Linked DNA regions of Lytechinus pictus. The protein of the gene in region 3 interacts with the protein of the main gene of each other region in a pairwise test. Links are inferred from orthologs where the notes say so. Each region holds a gene or a part of one and is shown on either strand. Other genes may lie near its edges.

What was found.
Region 1: the proteins of replication factor C subunit 4-like (region 3) and PRKCA-binding protein-like interact in a two-hybrid assay, tested with the Caenorhabditis elegans proteins (3 studies listed by BioGRID). The link is inferred for Lytechinus pictus from reciprocal best matches to the Caenorhabditis elegans genes rfc-4 and Y57G11C.22.
Region 2: the proteins of replication factor C subunit 4-like (region 3) and replication factor C subunit 1-like interact in a two-hybrid assay, tested with the Caenorhabditis elegans proteins (3 studies listed by BioGRID). The link is inferred for Lytechinus pictus from reciprocal best matches to the Caenorhabditis elegans genes rfc-4 and rfc-1.

The regions. Positions count from the first base shown.
Region 1 is NC_087254.1:35,283,457-35,291,726, reverse strand, and holds the start of PRKCA-binding protein-like, read right to left. Parts: upstream 3,174-8,270; 5' UTR 3,159-3,173; coding exon 3,088-3,158; intron 2,725-3,087; exon of another isoform or gene 2,285-2,724; coding exon of another isoform or gene 2,229-2,284; intron 1-2,228.
Region 2 is NC_087245.1:40,464,116-40,472,200, reverse strand, and holds the start of replication factor C subunit 1-like, read right to left. Parts: upstream 3,552-8,085; 5' UTR 3,392-3,551; coding exon 3,383-3,391; intron 1,728-3,382; coding exon 1,547-1,727; intron 191-1,546; coding exon 1-190.
Region 3 is NC_087260.1:5,934,562-5,942,103, forward strand, and holds the start of replication factor C subunit 4-like, read right to left. Parts: upstream 3,148-7,542; 5' UTR 2,984-3,147; intron 1-2,983. UniProt on the Caenorhabditis elegans protein: The elongation of primed DNA templates by DNA polymerase delta and epsilon requires the action of the accessory proteins PCNA and activator 1. This subunit may be involved in the elongation of the multiprimed DNA template.

The DNA.
Region 1 (8,270 bases), on a different chromosome or scaffold from region 3:
TCAGAACCGAAGCCTTAGGTCAGAACCAACTCTGGGAAAGCTGGAAATTGCCCAAGCCTAATACAATACATATATGTTGATATCATTTTCAAGTCAAATTTAGTATTTCTCGAACAGATTTCCATCGTTCCTAGAGATTCGAGTAAGGCAGATCCACTTGTAGTTTTAATACTCCATGATCTCATTTGCAAATCACATGTACTACATGTACCATCCAGCTGGCGCAGAAAACGCTAAACTTGACCTACACAAACAAAACCTCAAAAGAATAAATGTTTGTCAAGTACACACAATGCATACCAGAGCTCTGGAGCGATAGACATGGTTTTCAACAAATACTATAGTCTGTTGAATTTGTTGAATAACGGAAACTTACTCAAACAGGGAGAGTTAAAATTTACAAACTGGCAGGACCATACGGTAGCAAATACTAGCAATTAATCAACTGATTTCATATGGCCCATAAGTTAATATAAAATGCATATAAATTTCATTTTTTTAATGGTTCATGACCTATTTTTCTTTCTTTTTTTTCTTTTTAGGAACGGGTGTGAAATAATTTGTGTATTGATATACTAGAGATACAGTAAAATTTTCGATTTTCTGAGAAAATGACATTTCATTGATATTTAACCAAATGATATGTAGAAAAGTTGCTGGCATATGACGTCACAAATCAAATAATTCAAATTCTAATAACTTTTTTTATTCTTTGATGGATTTTTCTCAAACATGATCTACTGAATGCTACAAGCAGGATTTGCTGAAGTCCTGCCTTTGGCCCGAAGAAATAGTTTGAAAATCAACCCACAGAAGACTGAAGTGATTCATGTTTCATCTAGGATTAATTCTGCTTTAACACCAGCTTGTATTGAAACAGACGGGGTGGATGTACATGAGACAACTAAAGCACACAATCTGGGCTTTCACATGGATCAACAGTTCAACACCTTCAACTAAAACAACAATGTGTTCATTGAGAAGAATTGCAAAAATTCAGAACTACTTGTGTAAAAAGACCACTGAAAAGTTGATTCATTATATCTGTCTGATCTGATATCTGGATGTGTCCCGCAATAAAAATCTCCGCTCTTCTAACCAGAATTTATCAATTGCGCCAATGTCTAAAACATGTTCGTTTGGGGATCGTGCCTTGGAAGCTCCTTGCTTTTTGTTAGCAGCACCTGTACTGTACCTGGAATAAATTGCCTAATCATCTGAGGGCCATCACTTGTACTTCTTAAAGACATACCGTAGTTTGTTCTCACGTTAGATTGTTTTGTTTAAAAGGTACGGTATGTTGCAAAGTTTTTGTTACATGTAGTTTTTCATTCATGTTTTTTTTTATTTAAAGTTTATTAGTATTAGACTAAACTACTTTTATGTAAAGCGCATAGAGATTCTGTCAAATATTATGCACTATATAAACCTTTGGAAATATTTTTCATCATTTTTTTTCTTTTTTTACAATAAAATTATCCTATTTTTACAATAAATTTATCCTTTAATCAGCAACAAGGAAACCAAAACATCTTTTCACATGTACAAATTTGACTATTTAGAGAAAAGAAGGAACATTAATCTTTTAAAGTCAAATAAAATCAATTTCAAGATCCCTAAAACCAAAATATCAAAGAAAATACAATCCAATCTAGAACGGTCAAAATATCAAGAGCACTACATGTAAAAACTTTCAAACTCTATATTTGCAAATAATACATCTAAAGTATATCGTTAACAAGAGTGTCGCTATTAAGGTGAGCAAATAATACGCCCGCCTGTAACGCGGAAAATGGAGAACATGTATTGGTCAAGCAAGAAAAGTGGAAGGTGGAGACTTCACCTTTGACCTTTTGACCTCCAAATCGATAGGCTTCCTGGGATCCATGCTAGTATCATACGCACCAAATTATATGAGCCTAGGTTAAGTTAAACTAAAGTTATTGCGTTTACAAGGAAAACATGTCACTGTGAACTTGATCTTTGACCTCAAAATCAATAGGCTTCCTGGGATCCATGCTAGTATCATACACACCAAATTATATGAGCCTAGGTTAAGTTAAACTGAAGTTATCACGTTTACAAAGAAAAGTTAACAAGTAGACAGACAGACGGACACCGAACGTGATACCATAATAAGTCCTGTAGGACGGGCTCCCTGCGCATAAAAAATATATTAAAGTACCCTGCTCAACGAAAGGGTACTAAAATGTTTTTTATTAACTTACAGCTTATCTTCACAGGCCATGAATCCTTCTGGGGTCTTTATAACTTCCACTGGCATATCGTCTCTAATAAAATAATGTATTTAATGGAAATATTTATTGGTTCTCTGTTCCTTTTTAAAAGTTTTTCTTTAGTGAATAATGAAGCAGCTATCTCACGGATGCATTCTCCATTGCTAAAAGTGCTAGAAACAAGTTCCATCAAGCAAATGAATTACTTCAAACCTGAAGTATGTGATAACTGTTCTCCCATTCAGGTATCTTCAAATTCAATAATGTTTGTGGAAACTTTGCAAACACATTCTAATGTCCATTCTTCTGATACAATGTTCTTTTCATAATAAAAATGTGATGGTGCAGGCTCTAAGACAAATCCAGTATGATCTTGATGGAATGATAAAAGCTGATTATTCCTTTTAAACTCTTGTCAGTTTCCAATCACTCAGGTCAGATCCACAATGCCGCTTTTACTGATCCAATAAGTATCCTAAGATAATGCAAAACTTTTAAATAGGCCTATTCACTTTACGACTTCCATTAATGTATCTGCATCCCAAATAGAAGCTACAATGTACATGAATACATGTATGAGCAAATGTACATGCTTTTAAGATTACACAGATACTCTTCTGGTAGGCAAACAGGACAGCTTGTTGAAAAAAATAAAACCCTCCAATACATGTAAGAATTATTATTGTGCTGGTATGTGAAATCAATAGACAGCTTTTCATGAAATAAAAGAGATCTGGGCTACCAGAGCGTGGCTTAATATCCTTTTCATCATACTTCCAAGGTCCCTGGTTCATAAAGGTTTCCACTCAAACTTTGATCGACCAAGCCTAAAAGTAGCAAAGAAACTTACAACAGACCAAGCCAACTAAACAGTCTTATATTCAAGGGTGAAACATGAAGAAGTATTTGCAAAGCATACATGAATTAATGTAAACAGAAATAGAAGAGTATAAGTGCAATCGCTGTGTACAAGACTTAATCTCTGACATGCACAAACCAAGAACAACATTTTTTTTTTTACAATGACATCCAGTCGATGTGAGAACAGACTATTCTCCTTTGATATGCAAATGAAGGGGATACAATACTGGTATTGATTGGTATTTGTATGAAAATAGTGTATTGTATTTATTTCGTTGTCAAATTATCTCAAGGCTTTAGGTGTGAGAATCTCCATACACATACATGTAGCTGTATATGTACAACTTGCGCTTCATACACACTTTTCACAATGTTGTTTGACGATAGCAGTCCATCCAACTTGACAGTAATGTATGCCTGGTTCATGAGTAAATCTTTTATAGAGGAGATAAATTTGAAATATCACAGTGCACTGAAAAACGTTATTTCTGTTTTTTTTTTAAGTACGGGAAGAGAGAGAGTGAGAGAGAGAAAAAAAATGAGTACGTGTATGAAATTACCATTATGTACAGTTAACAAACAATACATACTTTAAGTCTTTATTCAGAAAAAAGTCTCTAAAAAGGTCCTGTTTCACAAAGGCATGTAATAACAACAAATGCACAAGATTACTATCAGCCAATCAAATTGATGGATTTCAGTAGCTCTAAACATTTATATTGCAAATTTGTTATGATAACAAGTTTTGTGAAAATTGGCCCCAGATGTGTCCCCCTGACTCCCCCACCTTATCTTGATGGCAAAACTTGTTTGAAAAACAAAACAAAACCATCTTGGTTTGCTGATGGAAAATGAAGTAAATGCATTGTAATAAATGATTCTGTGATCCATGTAAACTTGTACATGTATCTCCATACTATGTTTTGAAAAGTAAATACAGAATGAGGATACACTTATAAAAGTCATGGAAAACCTTTGTGAGCAGCTCCAAATGTTATTTTTTTTAGAATTTTAAGTTCCAGCAATCATATTTAATTGGTAGATAATATATCATGGAAAAACAAGCCTAGTAACACAGGTTCTGACCTTAGTTTTACACAAGAAAAGGGGGAAGAGAAATGTCATAATTGATAACATGACTTCATACATATTAGGCCTTCATGTTCATATCTCAATAAAAAGAGTGATTAAAACAAAAATCAAAGTAAACTTGATCAATCTTTAATTTTTTCTTGATGTTTTGTTTGAGCTCATTACAAAAAAAAAGAGATACACAACTTTCATATTATCCTTTATTTTTATTTTTCCTTTCTTCCCTTTTTCACACTAAATTGTCTTTCTTCTAAATTGATTCAAATCAGACAATGAACCATTGCTCTACAAAATGCATGCATATAAATCTTTTTAAAACATGTGTTCTCATTCAATAAAGACATTTCAGTTTTGTAACAAGATGTGAACAAGTATCAAACATTGTGCTGTAGTTACCACTAGAGGGCAGCAGTCTTGAAAATCAACTTCAAGCTCTTTCAGGATGATACAGTACACTCAGTTTTGATGTACATGTATGTAAACACATTGTTTACTATGTAATTTTCAATTCGCTAATTTGTGAATTGGTGTCCAAACTCCAAAGTGTCCACAGTATTCTTTTCTTCAGTGGATATTTTCTAGTTGGAAGTATTTGTAAGTTTATCAAATCCAGAAAATGCACTGTCATCAGACAAATGATAAAGAATGAAATTTCAATGACTTGCATTTTTACTGGTGATAATATTGGTATTGCACCACATGCATACATGTAGTACTTCAACAGTAAAACCTGGGAGTTTTTATGCATTATAAAAGGCAAATGAAAACAGAATACATGCATTTCAGTTATTGAGGAGTTTGGTATCTAGTGACTGATTTCATAAGTTAGGGTAAGACAGATTTTTTTAACAGTGTTAATGTACTTTATATGTATTGGCCTACATGTATTATGTATGTGGTCTTTGAAATGAATTTGAAAGAAATGCACGACTCATTTTTTTTTCTTAGCTTTCCTATTTTCTTATGCGATTCATTAATTCATTCATTTTTCGGGGTATACAGGCACAGTGCCAAGAATTTTTTTTGAGGGGGTGCATTTTATGTCCCCCAAATTAGATGAACCCCCCCACCACAAAAAAGGCCATCAGTCCAAAATGAAGGCATTTTAGGGGTGCTCCATTATCATTATTATTTCTTTTCAAATCCTGCCCCCACCCCCCTTGAATATGCAATTTGGTACAGTTACATGTACTGATTAAACTGCAGGCTGAAAGGATCAGTTAACAATTCACAACAAATACAAGTATACACAGTGTTATAGCTAATGTACATGTACAGTAGACGGCAGTTGTTGGGCCCAACCAGCACAGACTAATTCCATCCACCACTAATTTAAAAGAGGAATTGCTTTGCGTCCACTTCCATCTTTAATCTGGTTTTATTTGCATAATTTACATTAAACATTCTTATATTTGATTTTTTTTCAAAGATTTCCTAATGTCAGATTAATACATTAATGTTCCTTAGTCACTTTTGGCTTTAATTTTAAGACCACTAACTCGCCTGAAAAAACTTTGTAATGCCGTAAAATAGTGACCGCCACTAAAATGGTTCAAGCTAGAACACTGATTACTATTACATTATATGAAAATTGTATCACTGAAAATTAAATATTGATACAAAAAAGGAAATATAAATTAGGAGCAATTTTGAAAAGGAACCCTCAATATCCTTTTTGAAAGGGCTCTTCACTATAAAATGTTTTGGGTTTTTTGTTGTTGTTTTTTTACATGTTTTCATCCTATGGGAATGATTTTCCTCTGAATGAAATCTACACTTACACATTGCAGCATAACAAAATGGCATAGATTTAAAATTTACATACCGGTATATGTACATGTACATGTATGCAACACATAAACAACAAAATAACAAGACAAAAAACCTTTTTTCAACCTTGCCTTGCAACTTTTTCATTTTTATTTCAAGTTATTGCTAACCTTACATAACTACATGTATGTTGCAAATATCATATTTCCACTCTTTGTCCTCTGTGTATATTCTTTGTAAAATGCAAGGAAGTATTCAGGTCATTTTGCGGAAACAATGTTCATGAATATCAGACATGATGTAAGTCTTGTCCAGTCAGTGACTAACTCTTAAAAAGTTAATTTAAATTAAAATAATAGTTTAAAAATAAGAAATAAAACATTTTCCTTTTCCCCTCCTGCTGTAAAATTTTAAGTGTTATCATTCATTTTTTTAAATATCTTCAATAGAAAAATGCATTTTAAAAAAAAGAGAAAAATCCTGACTATACAAACAGAATGTAGACTTGAGCTCTGCATTAGAGGGCTACATTGTAAATTGACACAGAATAGTCGAGACCTGGATAATGAGAGCTACAGTGTATATAGTTAAAGGAAAATGAAAGGATAGATTTATTATCTGATCATAAAGTGATTACATTTCACTGAGTAAAATAAAATTAAAATGAGGCAGAATGGTTTCCTATTTCCCATGATATGCCAAGTCAAAGTTATCAATATTTTGATATTTGAAAGACCCGTGGAGATCGCCATTTTGCTCATACTCCCTATATCTCCGTGGGGGGTTGTGACGTCAGCGACGTACAACTCGGTGTCCGACCTCGGCACTCGCCTTTGATTGCTAGCATAAAATACATGGGCCAGAGTGGTCAGAAAGGGGCACAAAATGCAGCTTTTGCCAAATTCCTGATCCGCAGAAGAGGCCAGAAATCTCTTTAAAAAATGAGTGGCTGCACTAAAGGTGGAGAAATACAACAATTCTTCAAAATTCACGAGGAATGATGTTATTCGTAGCGAGCATTTTACCGATTTCTTCGGCCGAGTATTGGGACTCGAAGTCGTAGGCTCTCGGGCCTTCTAACTAAGTTCTATTTCAATACAAACGTCAGATAAGTTTTGTTTTACTTAAAATCGACGGTAACAAATAATAAACAACGTTAGATATATTGAAAAATAGCACAATTAACAATTTAACGATATTCAAACGGGATAGAGAACCAAACTTCCAACATAACAGTTAACACGATCACTCGGTTGTGGGCCGGCGGTCGGCACTCGAGGGTTCATTACATGCTGCCGCGCACAGAAAAATCAAGCCACAGAAGTCGTGTGTTGTGGACACCAGAAGGAAGATCCCAGCACGCGCGACCCACTAGATAGAAATCCACTGCCAAACGCGGTTTACGGTGCTGGCTTATAATACTAACCTCGCAATACGTGTGATGAGTGGGTGGCCGGGGACGGCTGTACTGTCTACGTACAAATTTAGCTTTGTCAAATTTGCCAATTTGGTAATCGTAAATAAATGTGTAAACATTTTCATCAAAACTCATCAATTTGTGTTTTAAACCATAAAATAATTTGAATAGCTTTTTGATAATATTTTCAAGTGTTTTTATGTGTATATTATATTTATTTCTTGTAAAAAAAGTATCTATATTATGCGAACTCGGGGTTGGTTTCAGCCTGTGACTAGCTGCACATGGAAGCTAGTACTGAGAGCAGTTGTACGTCGCTGATGTCACAATTTTGAACGAACCTCGCAACAATGGCGATCTCCATTCAGAGACTTTGAACGTGAAGAAGTCTAACTTTGAAGAGGTGGTACTCCACTTTGGGAAATCGGATATGGGTATAAGTGGATTCATTTTGATTATCATTTACTTATCAATGATATTAAGTGGTATTACATTTTGGGTTTCATTCTCCTTTAAGTTAGTTTATCATCATACCACAGCCTCCGCTGACTTGCATAACAACTTACATTTAAAATAAAATAAAAAACATCACATTTAACTTCACACAAACATTGCATTATTCCACATACTACTAAGAATCACTTGTGTAAAAACAGATGGTTGGTAACTTGGTATTGACAACTTTAATATACACAAGAGGCAACAGATTGATCTTGGTCTCATTTCAAGCAAAACAAAGCTGTTATTAGGCATTTCAGGTGATTTTTAGAGCTTGTGATAATAGCTTTGCAATTGATATGCCTACATGTACCATTTGAAAGAGAAACTCTTCCAGATCTCAGAACACTTGGAATTTTGAAAATTGACCCAATGAGTCATTGGTTATGCCCAAT
Region 2 (8,085 bases), on a different chromosome or scaffold from region 3:
TGATCTTTCCTTGTGGATTTCTTTGCAGACCTCTGGACCGGTGAGCTCCCAAAGAAATCTATCACCGAGGTGGGTTTCTTCTTCTCTGGGGTCGGCTGAGGCAGCTTGGCCGGTCCCTTACTGGTCTTGGAATCGGCTGACTTCACAGGGGTCTTTGACTTTTTGGATTGGGGTGGTTCGTCGTCTGAGTCTATGAATGTTCAATGTAAAAGTGAAACTAACATAACAGGTAAAGAATATTTTGGAAAAATTGTGTAGATTATGATGAATAGGAGGGTTGCCTTCTGAACCTGTTCACAAGGGTTTCTAGAGAAAAAGCATTTATGAATTGCACACTTTTTGTACACTTTATAACCTCACTTCAAGAAAATTTGAAACTAGGAACAAGTTTCATGATCATGTTCCTGTTTTAAACTTCAAGGTAATACTAATAAAAATATTTGAAATTTATATAGCGCATAATAGTCAAAAGATTCTCTATGCGCTTTACAAAATATATTTAATTACTAAATTATACATTAAACCTGATCTGAATTACATGTATACAATAAACCTAAACCTTAATCCTAAAATACTTAATACAAATTATAACAAATAAAATCAATGCATTAAAGTTACATCACTAATGAAATGAAAACTTATAATATTTAACAACATAATATATTGAACATTATATTATTAGGTATTGAATTGATTTGTTGCAATTCAAAACCTTAATTTACATTCATTTCTGAAAATGTCTGAGGCAAGAAAATGAAATGTCAGGGAAAGGATGAATGATCATGCTTCTAAAGCAATTAAGTTCTTTTGGCATCCAACAAAGCCTCTCACTCATCACTCAGTGTAGATTACCAAATGATCAAGCCCAACATGCTTGGGATTTTAATTTAATTTTTCCTTGTCCCACTCATTGATTTTTTTTTTTATAGCACTACTAGATCTTGATACCTAAAATGCTGAAAATTTTAAGTCAACAGGTTCAAAATGGAGGAAAAAATATGGATGCCCTGACAAGTTTTCTCTTTATTTTATTCAATTTTCTCTTCTTAAAATACTTTATCTCTGCAAACTTCAAAATAAATCCCTGACTTTGCTTTCTTTAAACCTCGCTTCATACAGTGCAGTGTATAACAAAGAATACCTCATCCGTAAACAGCATGGTAACCTTTCTGCTCATTTTAATAAATGTTAGATTTTTATTTTATCATTCCCCGTCTATACTAATTTTCCACTATTACTATGTATATAATTCTCTTAATTTGTAAATTTTGGAGGCCATTATGTGGTTACATTTTAACCTGAACTCTTGAATGTTTTAATTCACCTTGCTAGTAACTCTGATACAAGTCTTGCAAATATGACAAAAGAAGAGAAGATGGGAGCAGAGTACTAGACATGAATATAATTTTGTATTTATTTCATGTACTCATTGAAGGGAAAAATTTTCTCAGAATTCAAGACAGTTTCTCATCCTTGTGTTTAGTATTTATGAAAGACACACAGGATGTGAATCATTCATTTAAGTACATTAACACCTTCACTTTACCAGAGTCATAAATGATGTTGGATTTCTTCATTGATTTGGCCGAGTGGCGTTGCTTCTTCTCACTTTGCACGAAGTCTCCGTCATCGTCATTGTGCTTTCTCTTACCCTTGCCATTGCTCTGCTTAGCTGAACTGGATGCAGACTTACCCCTTCCTGGGCTGCCGAAGAAGGATCGAATGTCCTGGAATATGATTTATAAATTTATTGTTAGATCAAGTCTGTCTTTATCATTGTCAGTGCATGCACATGACTGCATGCCACTAGCAGGTTGGCCACTAGTAAAATGTACTACATGGGAGCAATCCCTCACCCCCCCACCTCCCATCCCCCCCCCCCCCTCTTCATTTGAATCCATCCATTAGTTTATAGTCATGACTGCACGGAAACATGTATCATTACCAAACTGTCAAACATTCATTTTCATGATTTAAGCCTTTTGGCATGCATTTCGACCAATCCTTTCCTTCATTAAAAAATACTGCATATCAACTGGGAAAATAAAATGCAATTAATTTTGCAATTTTGAAGTCTTGTTTCCACTGTCAAGTGTATTTTCACTATCTCCAACTCAGACCCTAAAGTTACATTTTGAAATAGTCAAATAGTTCTAAACAAGTCAAGATTCTAGATTTTACAACTCTAACTAACGTTAGTTGGATCTTTTTTTTTTTCACAGAGGGGGTTTGAAAAAGTCACAAGTGAAAGTCTGTACTAAATAAATACCTGGCCAACCATCTTGAGGGGGGGGGGTGGGGGTGATGGGGCCAGTCAAATATATTGCTGTACACATGCGTGACCAAATTATTTCCAAACATGGGCCTAAACAAGATTTTCTCTGTGTGCAAAATAACCCCTGAACAAGTTTTTCACAGGCTTCATTTACACATTTTGGCCCCATGCAGGGAAAAAGCTTGGGAAAAAATATACCCTAAAGTTCTAAACACGTTTGGCTACTCTTAAAAAAAAAGCCTTGCCTTTGGAAAGAAAAAATTACCCTAATACATTTGACCCCGGGATTGAACATAATTGACCATCCATGATTGACCAGTCTTTCTGAACCACCTTTAAAAAAAAATCATTGTTTTTTATACCCTTAACAAGTGCACATGCGACCAGACATATAGACTTTAGTTTAAAAACATGTTTTTTGGGTCACGCATGTCATGACATGTGTAAGTTAGATCTTGATCTAACTAAGACAGTAAGAACAGATCGAGATCGACTCGGGTGTACCGTGTTGCAAGAAACTTGCGATCAATTGCGATCTATATATGGTCCCTAAATCACTCAAATGTCTTGCAGTAAATTGCAAATTAGTGATTGCTAATCTGCTCCTTGAAACAAGAAGTTAAATCTGATTTGCTATAACTGACGTTGATCTAAAAAGTATGTTGTAAAATTGCAACAAAATATTTGCAATTGATCGCAAATATTTTCTTGCAACAAAAATTTCTAACTCAACAAGTTAGACTCTACTCTAGCTAGCTAGATCTAGATCCCTGGGCCAACCATATCCTCCCTCATTCACTCGTTAGGTTTCTTCTAGTTTTCCACATTCATCCATCACTTCTTTGCATCAGATGACACTGAAACTAGCCTGAAAAACCTAACGTTAGTCCAATTCCCATCTCAATTCGTCATCACGACGGGACCATCAGGCATCACGACGAGTCATCATGGTCAGGACACAATTTCGAATTTTTTATTTAATTCCGTTTCAACTTCAAATTGAAAGGGCATTTTTTCAACGAAAGGATTTGAAATCACTGAATGTCTAAAAGTAACCATAGGCCTACGTCAAAGCATTAAAATGTGCATGCAATTCAGAATATTTACCATCGACATGATTAATCAGCTGTTTGACATAAGCCGTCATTCAATTCAATTCAGCTCAGCTCAGTCGAACTACTAACCCATGTTGTTGTCATTCGCGCTCGCGCGCTGAAGTTGCGTTCGCTGTTCCCCGTCGATTCGTAAAGATTACGAATAAAAACTTGAAATGAATGGGGGGCCAGCCCATCATGATCACCTGATCGCACTATAAATCACGTGATATGCCAGAGATTGATCGGAGGGGGAAGGGGAGTGGCCAAGCGCAGCATGGAGGGGATGGAGGGAAAGGAAACTCGGAAAACTTTTCGAAAAGGGCATCTCTCCGATTTTTGTTATTTTTATAGTTGTCTACCATTACGAGATGAAAGTGTTGGGGATCAGTGATGAAGAATGCGTTTCCTTATTTTGAGGGGGGAGATAGAGGGGGTTGCTCATTTTTGTAACTTTCACTTAAAACGCGACGAGTTCTTCAATTGGCTTTATGGGGTTTTTTTCATTCCTGCGGGACTTTCAGTGCCTTATGACCCTGCTTACGATAGCCGTTATCACTAGGGAGGACCCCCTTTCTAGTGCTTTCAACAAATACATGGCCTGGTGACTCACGACTTGGATCCTAAGTCTCCTAATTTTCTAACTTCAACACCAATAGCCCAGCTCTGATGTATTTTGACAATCAATATAAACAAAACAAGTATAGATGATAGTATAATTAATTGATAATGATGATGATGTTGATGATGATAATAATAATAATAATAGTAATGATAATGATAATAATTAATAATTAATAATAATGATAATAACCACAATCACAGCAGAGGGCAGGGGCGACTGCCCCTATGAATTTTCAAGCTTTGAATACAAAGAAAAAAATAGGAGAGAATTAAGCAAAAATAATGACGAAAAGACGGAAGGGGAGGAAAAAAAGAAAGAAGAGACTTTTTGGTCGTTTGTAATTGTTATTAATATGACCTAATATTCAATTGAAGAAAAAATACATCACCATCAGCTCGCCCCACCCGTCAAATACCCTGGCGCCGCTCCTGATCCAAATTAAGGATCATGTCTTGGAAGAGCGTTTAAATTCTGACAGTTACCCCGACCCCGCCCCGCCCATCCAGCAATGACCACTTTCTTTTCTTTCACCCTCCCTCTCTCAAGTCTCTCTAAAACTCTCTTCTTCAATCTCTGCATATGCATGCCTCCCCCCCCCCCCCCCCCCCGGCCCCACCATACACTGACGGGCTCCGTGCCATTACATCCCGCATTATACATACGCTGTGCGGACTGACTGGGGTGGGGTGTGTGTCCGTCTGTCAATCCCTAGCTCTCTCTCCCTCTCTCTCCATCTCTCTCTATCTCTGCCTCCATCTCTCTCCCCCTCCATCACTATCTCCCACTTTCTAATATACCATACCCACTGATCCGTATAGGCGTGCACCTCCAAACATGAACTTCGATCTTCATTATTAGCCATCCGCTGCCCCTCGCTCCGCCAGCCTGAGAAAGTGACAGGCTCAACTTTAATACTGACCTCATTACAGGGCACCCCAGGTAAAATCACGTATTTGGGAACTATCATCCTTTTGTCATTCAATAAATCTCAAATCAGGGAGCAATCGTCCGGTCCACACTTGAGCTCATCAATGCTCATTCTCTGAAAATCATCAACAATCACAATTTCTTCCAACCAACTGTCTTGGACACGTCTATAGTTCGTGAAACCAGGGCAGGTAGTAGCAAGCGATCACCGCCCAACCGAACCATTCACAGCTGGGATTCTCAATTTTGTGTCTCTTTTTTTTCCCGCGGTCTGTCATCTGATTCATAGCAACAACAGACAAAACAGACAGGATGTCTACAGAAAAGTAAGTATAAATCAGTGTATTCAATTATATTTACATAAGCTCTTACGCCTTTAATTTCCATTATGTTACTTTGTCATCTAACTGTAAAAGGATTTGAGTTTTTCATTGCGAGATGAACTATTGCCTATTTTTTTTCCCCTTCATAACAATGTCTGCATTTGAGATACCATGACACTATACTTTGAATAAATACAGATCGGTTGTGAGTTGTGACCAAAATTTAATTAGATTCAAATTCTGGAGAATTGCGATAGCAGTAACACAACGTCATCATTATAAGCATCAGCAGGAGTATAAAAAACAACAGATCCTGAAAGAAAAAAATACATTGACCCCGCACATGATTAATCAGTCAATCAATCTAAATCCTTATTTCAGGTTGGTCACTGTCTACCGACTACCGCCGATGTGGATTTATTTAAAATCCCTGTAAATTTAGAGTGGACATTAGTGACATCTGGGCCCCGTTGTACAAAGAGTTACGATTGATCCGATCAATCGTAACTCTATGGAAATCCATCAGTGTCATAATTTTTTCTACAGGAAATTTGCAAATGTCCTTTGTAATCAAAGGAGAACACCCCGAATTGTCAAGAAATCAATGAATTTATGGATTTGCATTCATATCTAGAATTTTTTTTGAACAAACATGCATTTCATATGTTGACTTTGCTGGCTTTCCATAGTTGTGATTGATCGGATCAATCGTAACTCTTTGTACAACGGGGCCCAGTTCTCGTCGTGATGATTTCTTGTATTGTGCCTAATGTGATCACCTGCTTTCGGAATTATACCAAATTCATCTGTCCACTTTGTGCATGTCATATTACTTGAGGTATAATCTCTCAATTTGCCATCCTTTATGGTACTGATCATAGCAAGCGAAATAAAATAATACATGCAGGACTGACTATTTAGCTTGTCCGTCGCAATATTTCATATTCAAGCCCGCAGCTCTTATCCAAGAATTTCTTTAAAGGGCACGTCAGAAAGCAAAAAAAAAAAAAGAGAAGTATTTAGGGTCATGTGCGGGGTCAATGTATTTTTTTCTTTCAGGATGTTTTTTTTTTAATACTGCTGCTGATGCTTATAATGATGACGTTGTGTTACTGCTATCGCAACCTTGATACTACTGACCGAGTAGGGATAGTGCAGCACACCCCCCCCCCCCCCCCCAATAAAAAAAAATTAAAAAAATAATGATAAACTAATAAAAGAAATAAGTGAATACATGCATGATTGAATTTGAATTTATTGGTTTATTTGATCTCTAAACCCATTTTCAATATACAAATGCAGAAATACCAATCAATAATAGACAAAAAATAATGAGCTTACAGTTGCAAATGGGTATATATTGATGAAATAAATGAATTAATTGTTTGCTTACTTAAAAAAATAACGATAATTATTATTATTGAAGCCCACATATTTATTGTCATCATCAATATTATTCGCATTTACCCGCTTAATAAAACTAAAATTTCCCATTATCCGTGCAGCCAAAGGGTGGCAGGCCTATATATAGATCCCCTAAAAGGTGTTTTATCAATTTTGCAATTGTTTAAATTATTTTCTCATTCTTAAAAAATGCTTGATAATAAAGCAAACTTAAATATCTTTATCTTATACTTACCTTCATGCAATACCTTATATCTGATTCTACTTTAGACAATAAAAACAAAATTGTACTGATATAAAACCACCCCTATATCATCCCCCTCTCTCTCTCTCTCTCTTTCTCTTCCTCCTTCTATATCTCCCTCCACCTCCATCTTCTTCTATCCCTTTATTCTTCATCTACCCATCTGTCACGTCGTTCCCCCTCGTTGAATCCATGCAGTCGGTCATTAACTTTTCCTATTTTGATTCCCAATTTGACGACAATAAAAACACAAATCGAAATTCAATTACGTTCCCTTATCTGAGATCACTAATAAGAAAAAAAAACTCAGTAATCCACTCGGCAATAAAAATGAAATGATTTCGATATCATCTAGCAATTTAGGCGTTTAATATCTTCATTCACCGGCGGAATCGCTGTATATCCAAGGAGATATCACTCTCCTTGGTATATCAGTCAACCTTTTTGTTTTATGTTTTGTTGCTCCATTGTCGTTTGTAGAATGGCGCCGACGAAATTTCCTGACGATTTTGTAATTATGGAGAAAGAAGAATAAAATAGATTTACAATCTTAATGTGTTCAGGTTTGGTCAGAATGCCGGCGTTTTAAAACTCCTGTCTTTAAATATTAGGCCTGTGATGTAGGCCTAGTATACGAATTCCCTCGAATTTATATTAGGTAGTAAGAATTATATAAAACTTTAAAAAGTATTTAAGGAATCAGCCTTTAAATACAAATGTAATTCCATTTCCCAGGTGACACACATCTAGATGCAGATGCTGTTGGCTTGATATATTTTTTTTATGGAATTAGGTATCGACTTGTAACAGGGGCTGCGGAACCGGGGGGCTGGGGGGCTTCAGCCCCCCCCCCCCTCTTTTTTTTCCAAAACTGTGTACAAAAACGTAAAAATGACCATATGATTGTGATTTTTAGCATGGTCAGCCCCCCCCCCCCCCACTTTTGGCTCAGCCCCCCACTTTGAAAACCGTTCCGCGGCCCCTGTGTAACAAGATTGACGTGTATCTTTCTTCTTTCTAATTTTTCTCCATTGTATAGAAAATGTAACCGGCATTGGCCATGCTGGAGCTACTTAACCCGTGCAAAAAAAAGTCTTGGAAATGTGATGGCGCGATGGTGCAATGCTTTTTATGTATCTTTTTTTTACATTGGACGGTCTGGCTCAAAATTCAGGGGCGGATCTGAGATTTAC
Region 3 (7,542 bases):
ATTTCTTTTGATTGATTTAATCTGACAATTCTGGCAAATGGTGGAAACTGTCAATAATCTTTTAGTTGTGAATATACCCCTCCCTTTATCTATCACTCTCTTTGCCCCTCTCATCTCTGGGTCTCTCTCTTTCTCTCTCTTCTGTTCTCCGATTTCCCTCTTCCTTTCTATTGTGTGGTGTAACACTGTGTAATGAAAAAAAGAAAAAAAAGAAAAACAGAATCTCAACTAATTAAACGCTTGTAATGCATATTTAAAAATGGAAAGCTTATAGCTTTAACAGGATCAAGGACGAATATTGAAAATGAGAGACAAAATAACTAGACTGCATAACCTGATAGGATTTATCTGAAAGAGAAAACAATAATATATCATAAGTGATTTCCATGTAAGAAATACATTTCTCTATGCACAAGAAGGTGGATCCAAAATTGTGTTACGCCACTCCCTCCTTCACATCCACTAAAGGTCAACTGACTATAATCATAAATAACTTTGATTTGCGCGTGCACATCCTATATATAAGCCTACAACCTATTTAGAATGACAATAAAAATGAAAATAAAATTCAATTGGAAAATTACATCTTGGTGAAAAGAATAAGGGTGAACAATTTATTTTTTCAATTTTCCCATTTACATTATCACATGCAGTGAATTAAACATTCAGGCTGTTGAATCGATTTTGAATAAACTAGATTTTTTATTAATGAATTTAAAATTTGAATAACAGACACTATATGGAAATGCATTTTGATATAACCTAAAAAAGATGGGTATATGGAAATAAAAATGTACATCCTGCAACACAAGGTGATGACAAGGAAATTTTATTGAAAATGTAATACAGTAGTCCCAATGACATGATGCATTTGTGGAACAAAGGAAAATACCATAACGACAAATTTATGAAAATAAAAAAACAATTATACATAAAATTGATATCAATATAAAGTTGTTCATTCTATCAAAATTGCACAATTATTACAAAGGGGAATGAACATATATTTTACTTAAGTTCGAAATTTGCATTAGGTTCTGATTGTGTTAACATTTATTCCTTGATAAATTGTTTTAAAACATTATCAGCTAAGATATTTCATTTCATTTCATTTATTGGTTTCAGCAACACTTTTTCATAAACACATTAACAAAGAAAATACAATAATAATATGCGAATAACTGACAAGCAAAACATTGAACAAATTGTATTTTATATTAATACATATTGATATTTTTCATTTCATTTATTTATTTATTCATTTTTCCCAAAAAAATTATAATACAATAATTACAATAAATAAAACATATCAGAAAATACAAATGACATAAATCTTCAAATAAACCAAATATGATTTTTAGAAGGTTGCAGGGGTTGCCACTTTAAGCTAAGCTTGACTGCGTGGCAACCCCAGAAAACAATGATAATTATTGATTACAGTCTATGAAATGAATAAATTCTGTTCCCATGACTCTGTTCAGCTAGTTGTTTCCAAAGTTGATGCTTAAAACTTGCAGTCACTGAAGTCATTACCTTAATTGCATGACCTTTGAAAGCACATGCCATTATGATAAAAAAATTAGTGAGCAAGTACAATAACCAGCAGATAATACATAATGTGACTATTAGACCTGTGCCATTTTCCTCATCAGTCCAAGCAAGTGCTGTTGTCACAGTTATAAGGTCAAAGCATATACATACGTTAACACATATTGAATTAATCACACAAAGCTAACGTACTCTATGAGTGAATAAAGGTACGGTAGTGAGTACTGTCAGTATAGGCCCTGAACTTGTACTAACATAGTAATAGCTAGATGAACTCATGACAATCACCACACACCAAACACAGATGGGTTACATGCAGCATGGACCTACTAGGTCCATGCATGCAGCAAATCTGATATTTGTACATGTAGATGTAGATCCATTATTGCTTGTGAGGACACAGGTCAAAGCACTTTGAATCATTATTTCTTCTGCATTAATAAAGTAATCTTAATTGAATCACTGTCTGTCTTGATAGGTAAGCTCTGGTCTTGGACTTGGATTTTTTTATCTACTAGGATTAGACTAGGTCTACATCTACTATAGATCTTCACTAGACCCTAGTCCAGAGTAAATTTACTCAAGCACTGCAGTTCCTTTGTTAGATTAAAAATTTTAATGTAACAACTCAACTGCACTGCAGCCTTCAGTCTTAATATTTACTCTAGTCTTAGGGTCTAAATTAGACCTAGGCATACGGGTTTTCTAAAATCAGGAGTTTTAACACTTTGGCCTTAATAACAAAATAGTCTAAATATATATAGGGATACTTTCCTCTCTAATGGGATATTTCCATCTATATATTAGTAAAATTCAGATTAAGACTAGTAGATCCAACTTTAGACCAAAAGCTTCATTCAGTCTCTGTATTTTGGTTGTTCCGCTGAACTGTGTTGGCTCACTCACCAATACATAAATGGGGATTACAGTAAAATGTCAGGAATTGTTGAATAAAATCCCAGAAACGACGGTTATTCCTGTGTAATATAACTTAGTCTTAGACTAAGTTGAAAAGTGCCCTCACCCGCTGAGTTGGTGGCTCCATCCCTGCAATTAACCGCCTACGGCCTATAGAGTGGGCTAAGGTTTCCGCCGCCGAAAGCTCCGGCGGCGCAGCTCCTTATCTTTGGCTAGGGTCTTATGAAGGGTAGTCCCATATGCTAAATTTTATGAACTGTTTTTGGTAGAAAATAAATGGATTTCCCCAAAAATAACATGAAACAACTTGTTGAAAGATCATTCAACCTTGACAGTCATTGTAAAACACTATTACAACACGTTGAGGTGCAAAACATGATGACACAAAACTTGAAAAAAAATGCAATTTTTCTCTCATACCAAACACTTTTTTCGACATTATTTTGGAAGCCGATTTACGAAAAAATAACACCAGATGTATCTACAAAAAGTTAACTTTATATGTTAAAATACTCACATTGGCGTCTAGAAAATATATCCATGAGTTGAAAGTGTCGAGGTATTTAATCACTAAATGTGAGAAAATGTGTAGTTTATTGAAATTTCCGGAGGCATGCACTAAGCAGAAGATCACAAGCGCAGAAAATATGCCAGAGGGAACTAATTGGGGCTCCATGAAATATCGGACCAATCAGAGTACACTTCCGGTTTCGCCACTCTGTCTATTGATAACTCTGCAACGAACCAAGGCCCTATATAAACAAGGTTGCGACACCGGAAGTAGCCGTCATTTGCTCATGGAGCTTTTGAATAGTTCCAAATTCACCGAAGTTTGTGTACAAAGTCAATGGGGGAGATTTTTCGACAACAAATTTCAGGTAATAAAAATTGTTATTAAGAAAAACAAAATGATAGTTTTTAAAGAGAATTTTATGTGCTTCATTTTGATATGATTGGTTTGCAATAATTTTGAATTTTAACATGCTTTTTTACTAATTTTTAATAGTTCCAAGGCGTAAACATGACAGTAAAGATACGGTATGGGACTGGCAACTGTAGCCGGCAGTGGGGCTGGCTCAGTAGCCCGATAGCGCGTTTCCGTTTTACACCCTGGCGAAGGCATTTTCCGGAAAAATAGCCACAAAGCGACTAGTGAAGAGTCTACGTCTACGTTTGTTTACATAATCAGCTGGGCGCGCGATCCAAAAGTCCGCACCGAAGATATCCGCAGAACATACGTGCAAATGCAGCTGAGCTTATAGACCAAAAGCTTCAGTCTCTGTATTTTGGTTGTTCCGCTGAACTATATACGTTGGCTTCATGATTTTTTTTTTTACTTTATCGCACATGATCGTTTATATGAATGAAAACGAATAATAGCTAAAATATTGAAAAATAAAACACATAATTACCTTTTTTCATATTATATCTATCCTTATATCTATCATATCTGTCTATCCGCTATCTATCTTATAAATCAATCTATGGAACTACATGATATATCTATCTGTTAATTTGTCTATCTACTCTGTCTCTCTCATTCTCTATCTACCTATCTATCTATCTATCCATCTAACATCTATCTCTCAAATTCTCTATCTATACATCTGTCTCTCTTTTATTTCTCTCTATCCATCTATTAATCTACTCATGTGCAATATCAACACTGCCTCGACTTCCTTCGGGAGTCTATTTCCTCAGCTCTACTTTTCCCTTTTTTGTGCTCGATTCGATTCAATTACTACTTTATTTACTTGTTACCATTGTTAAATGTCTTGTATTGCATAATGAGTTTTTTTTTCTAAAGGTTGCCTCCTATTCTCTTTCAAATTCCCCCTCTTGCTTTCCCTTCTCTTTGTCTTATCCCAATTTCTTTCCCTTCTCTCACCTCTTTCTTCTTAATCTTTCATTCCGCTTTTTTCTTCTTTGGTGACACTTTGTATTACTTTTGGCCCTTTGTATTTATTTATGATACATTTCTTTTTCATCTGTATGAATTTGTATTGTATTTGATATTTATTTATAATGTTTACTTTATATTTTGTTATGATTCTATTTGTATGTAAACATTCACTTATTTCAGTCTTTGATCTCAAATTCTCTCTATCTATCCATCTGTCTGTCTTTTTCTCTCTATCCGTCTATATATCTATCTCTCAAATTATATCTATATAGATCTATCTATCTATCTATCTATGTAACTACAGTATCTATCTATATGTTAATCTTCTCTGTCTCTCATTCTTTATCTATCTAACATCTATCTATCCATCTGTCTTTCTCTAGTTCTCTAGTTCTCTAGTTCTCTCTCTATCAATCTATCTATCTATATGTAACTGCAGTATCTATCTATCTGTTAATTTGTCGCTCTTCTCTGTCTCTCTCATTCTTTATCTATCTAACATCTATCTATATCTCTCAATTCTCTATCTCTCTCTCCCCCTCTCTCTATCTATCTATCCATCTTTCTGTCTTCTCTCTCTCTATCTATCTATCTATCTTCTATCTATCTATTTTTTAATCTATCTCTCAAATTCTATCTCTATCTAATATCTATGTAACTACAGTATCTATCTATCTATCTGTTAATCTTCTCTGTCTCTCTCATTCTTTATCTATCTATCTATCCATCTGTCTTGTTTTCTCTCTTTCTCTATTTCTCTTTTTCCGTCCATATATATATCTATCTATCTATAACATCTCTCCCTCTCTCAAGGTCTCTCCCCCATCTATCTATCTATCTATCTTCTATCTATTTATCTAGCTATGTAACTACAGTATCTATCTATCTGTTAATTTGTCTATCTTCTCTGTCTCTCTCATTCTTTATTTATCTGTCTATCTAACATCTACCTATCTCTCAAATTCTCTATCTCTCTCTCTCTCCCCTCTCTCTATCTATCTATCCATCTGTCTGTCTTTCTCTATTTCTCTCTATCTATCTATCTATTTATCTATCTATCTATGTAACTACAGTATCTATCTATCTGTTAATTTGCCCATCTTCTCTGTCTCTCTCATTCTTTATCTATCTATCTAATATATATCTCTCAGATTCTCTCTCTCTCTATCTATCCATCTGTCTGTCTTTTTTTCTCTCTCTCTATTTCTCTTTATCCGTCCATATATCTATCTATCTATCAATCTATCTATCTATCTATCTATAACATCTCTCCATCTCTCAAGTTCTCCCCCCCCCCCCATCTATCTATCTATCAATCTATCTATCTATGTCTCTATCTATTTATCAGTCTTCTATATCTAAGTGTATCAATCCATCAAACTTCAATTTTCTTTTTATTGTATGTATCTGTTTATTTTTATTTTGTCTGTCATTCTATTCATTTAGTTAATAATTTATATTTAGAAAAAAAACTTTTTCTTAACTTTTCATAAAAAAAACCTAACTGCAAAAGCATGTTCGGATTTCACTCACATGACTGCTCTCTGTACATGAAATGCTCTGATCAGTAACTGTGCAGATTGCATGCGGTGGTGTGGGACTCGCCTGTGCATGTGTCGCACGCTGCAACCAGCGACGTGTGTAGACTCTTCACTAGTCGCTTTGGGGCTATTTTTGCGGAAAATGCCTTCGCCAGGGTGTAAAACGGAAACGCGCAGCCCGATATACGCTGTGGTTGTGTTTCCTGACGGGTTGGGTCCGGACTCACGACATCTCCTTTAATTTTGAAAAGTTTACAAAAAATACAAGCAATGTCTTTGATTTTTTTTTAGCTCAGAATGTAAGAAAATATTATAAAGAACAAATAATGATGGTGATAAGCATTATCCAAGCTATATTTTTTGCTTTATTTTGCTGAGAAGTGAGAGAAAAAAAACAAAAACAAGTCAGTGAGATAAACAACAGCAAGCCTAAACTTCTACAAATACAAGGCTTCATTTTTCAGTGTCCGGACACCAAACCCCTCATCGATGTTCCAAGATCCAAAACAAATTTCCTGAAAATGAATCCTAAATTTTCTGAAATTCATAGACAATTCCTGGAATTTTCCATTTTGATTTTTAATGAAAATCTGGCAATAATAATTAATACAGTGAGCCTAAATTAGGTCCAAGAAGTGACCAAAATCAAGAAATAAAACATTCTTGTTTGTCATGTCCTCTTGAAAAATAGGAACAAAATTACGAAATGACGAGGGCAGAAAATTTTGAGCTCCGACGACGGAGCCTATGTCTGGATCCGGAGGAAGATCTAATGTTAGATCTAAATCTTTGTAAAATATTACATGAATATTTTAAAGTTGCTACGGTAAATTGTCATTTAATTGTAATCATGGGCGGATCCAGGATTTTCCAAAAGGGGAGGCACATTTTCCTGAGGAAAAAATTGACATGCAAAAATAAAAGGGACTTCACGTTCAAAGGGGGGGGGCACACTTCTGCATTTCTACATTACAATTTTAAATTTTGCTTCTCAAGGGGCCCCCCTTGTAATTTTTGGATTTCCCTGAATTTCCTGGATTTTTTTCATTTCTGGAACCTTTCCTGGAAAAAGTAAAAGTTTCTTGAATTGCGGGAAGAGTGGAAGCACCCCATCCTCTTGCACTCTCCAACCACTCTTTCTGTCTTGAGTCTACGCAACATTCATGTACAATGCACACTCAAAAAGACAGATCCATTCAGTTATTTGTTTTCATTTTAGACTTAGAAATCTTTTTTTTTTATTCACAAGAGCGCTCAAAAACTTTTAATTTTGAGCACATTTTTGTGAGGCCCTCTGTGACTGATGCAGATCTTCATCTCCACAGACTCTCTTTTTAATCTCTTTTTAATTAGAAAAAAATTATAAATTTCAAGAATTCAATTTAGTTTTGTGCCAAGGCATTTTTTATGATGATGAATTCACTGTATGGTCAAAATTGACTGTTCCAAAATATCAAGTATTCATCCAGTCTAGATCAAGAGAAAATTGGCAATCTTGTTGACAATCTTGTTCACCACACAGGTTACTAACTGTGGACAAGGTTATCACAACCTTGTGATAAAAGTGGTGTTAGCTTAGCACTGCATTTTTAAAAAGTGGTTTAAGACCACATGGATGTTATCACAACCTTG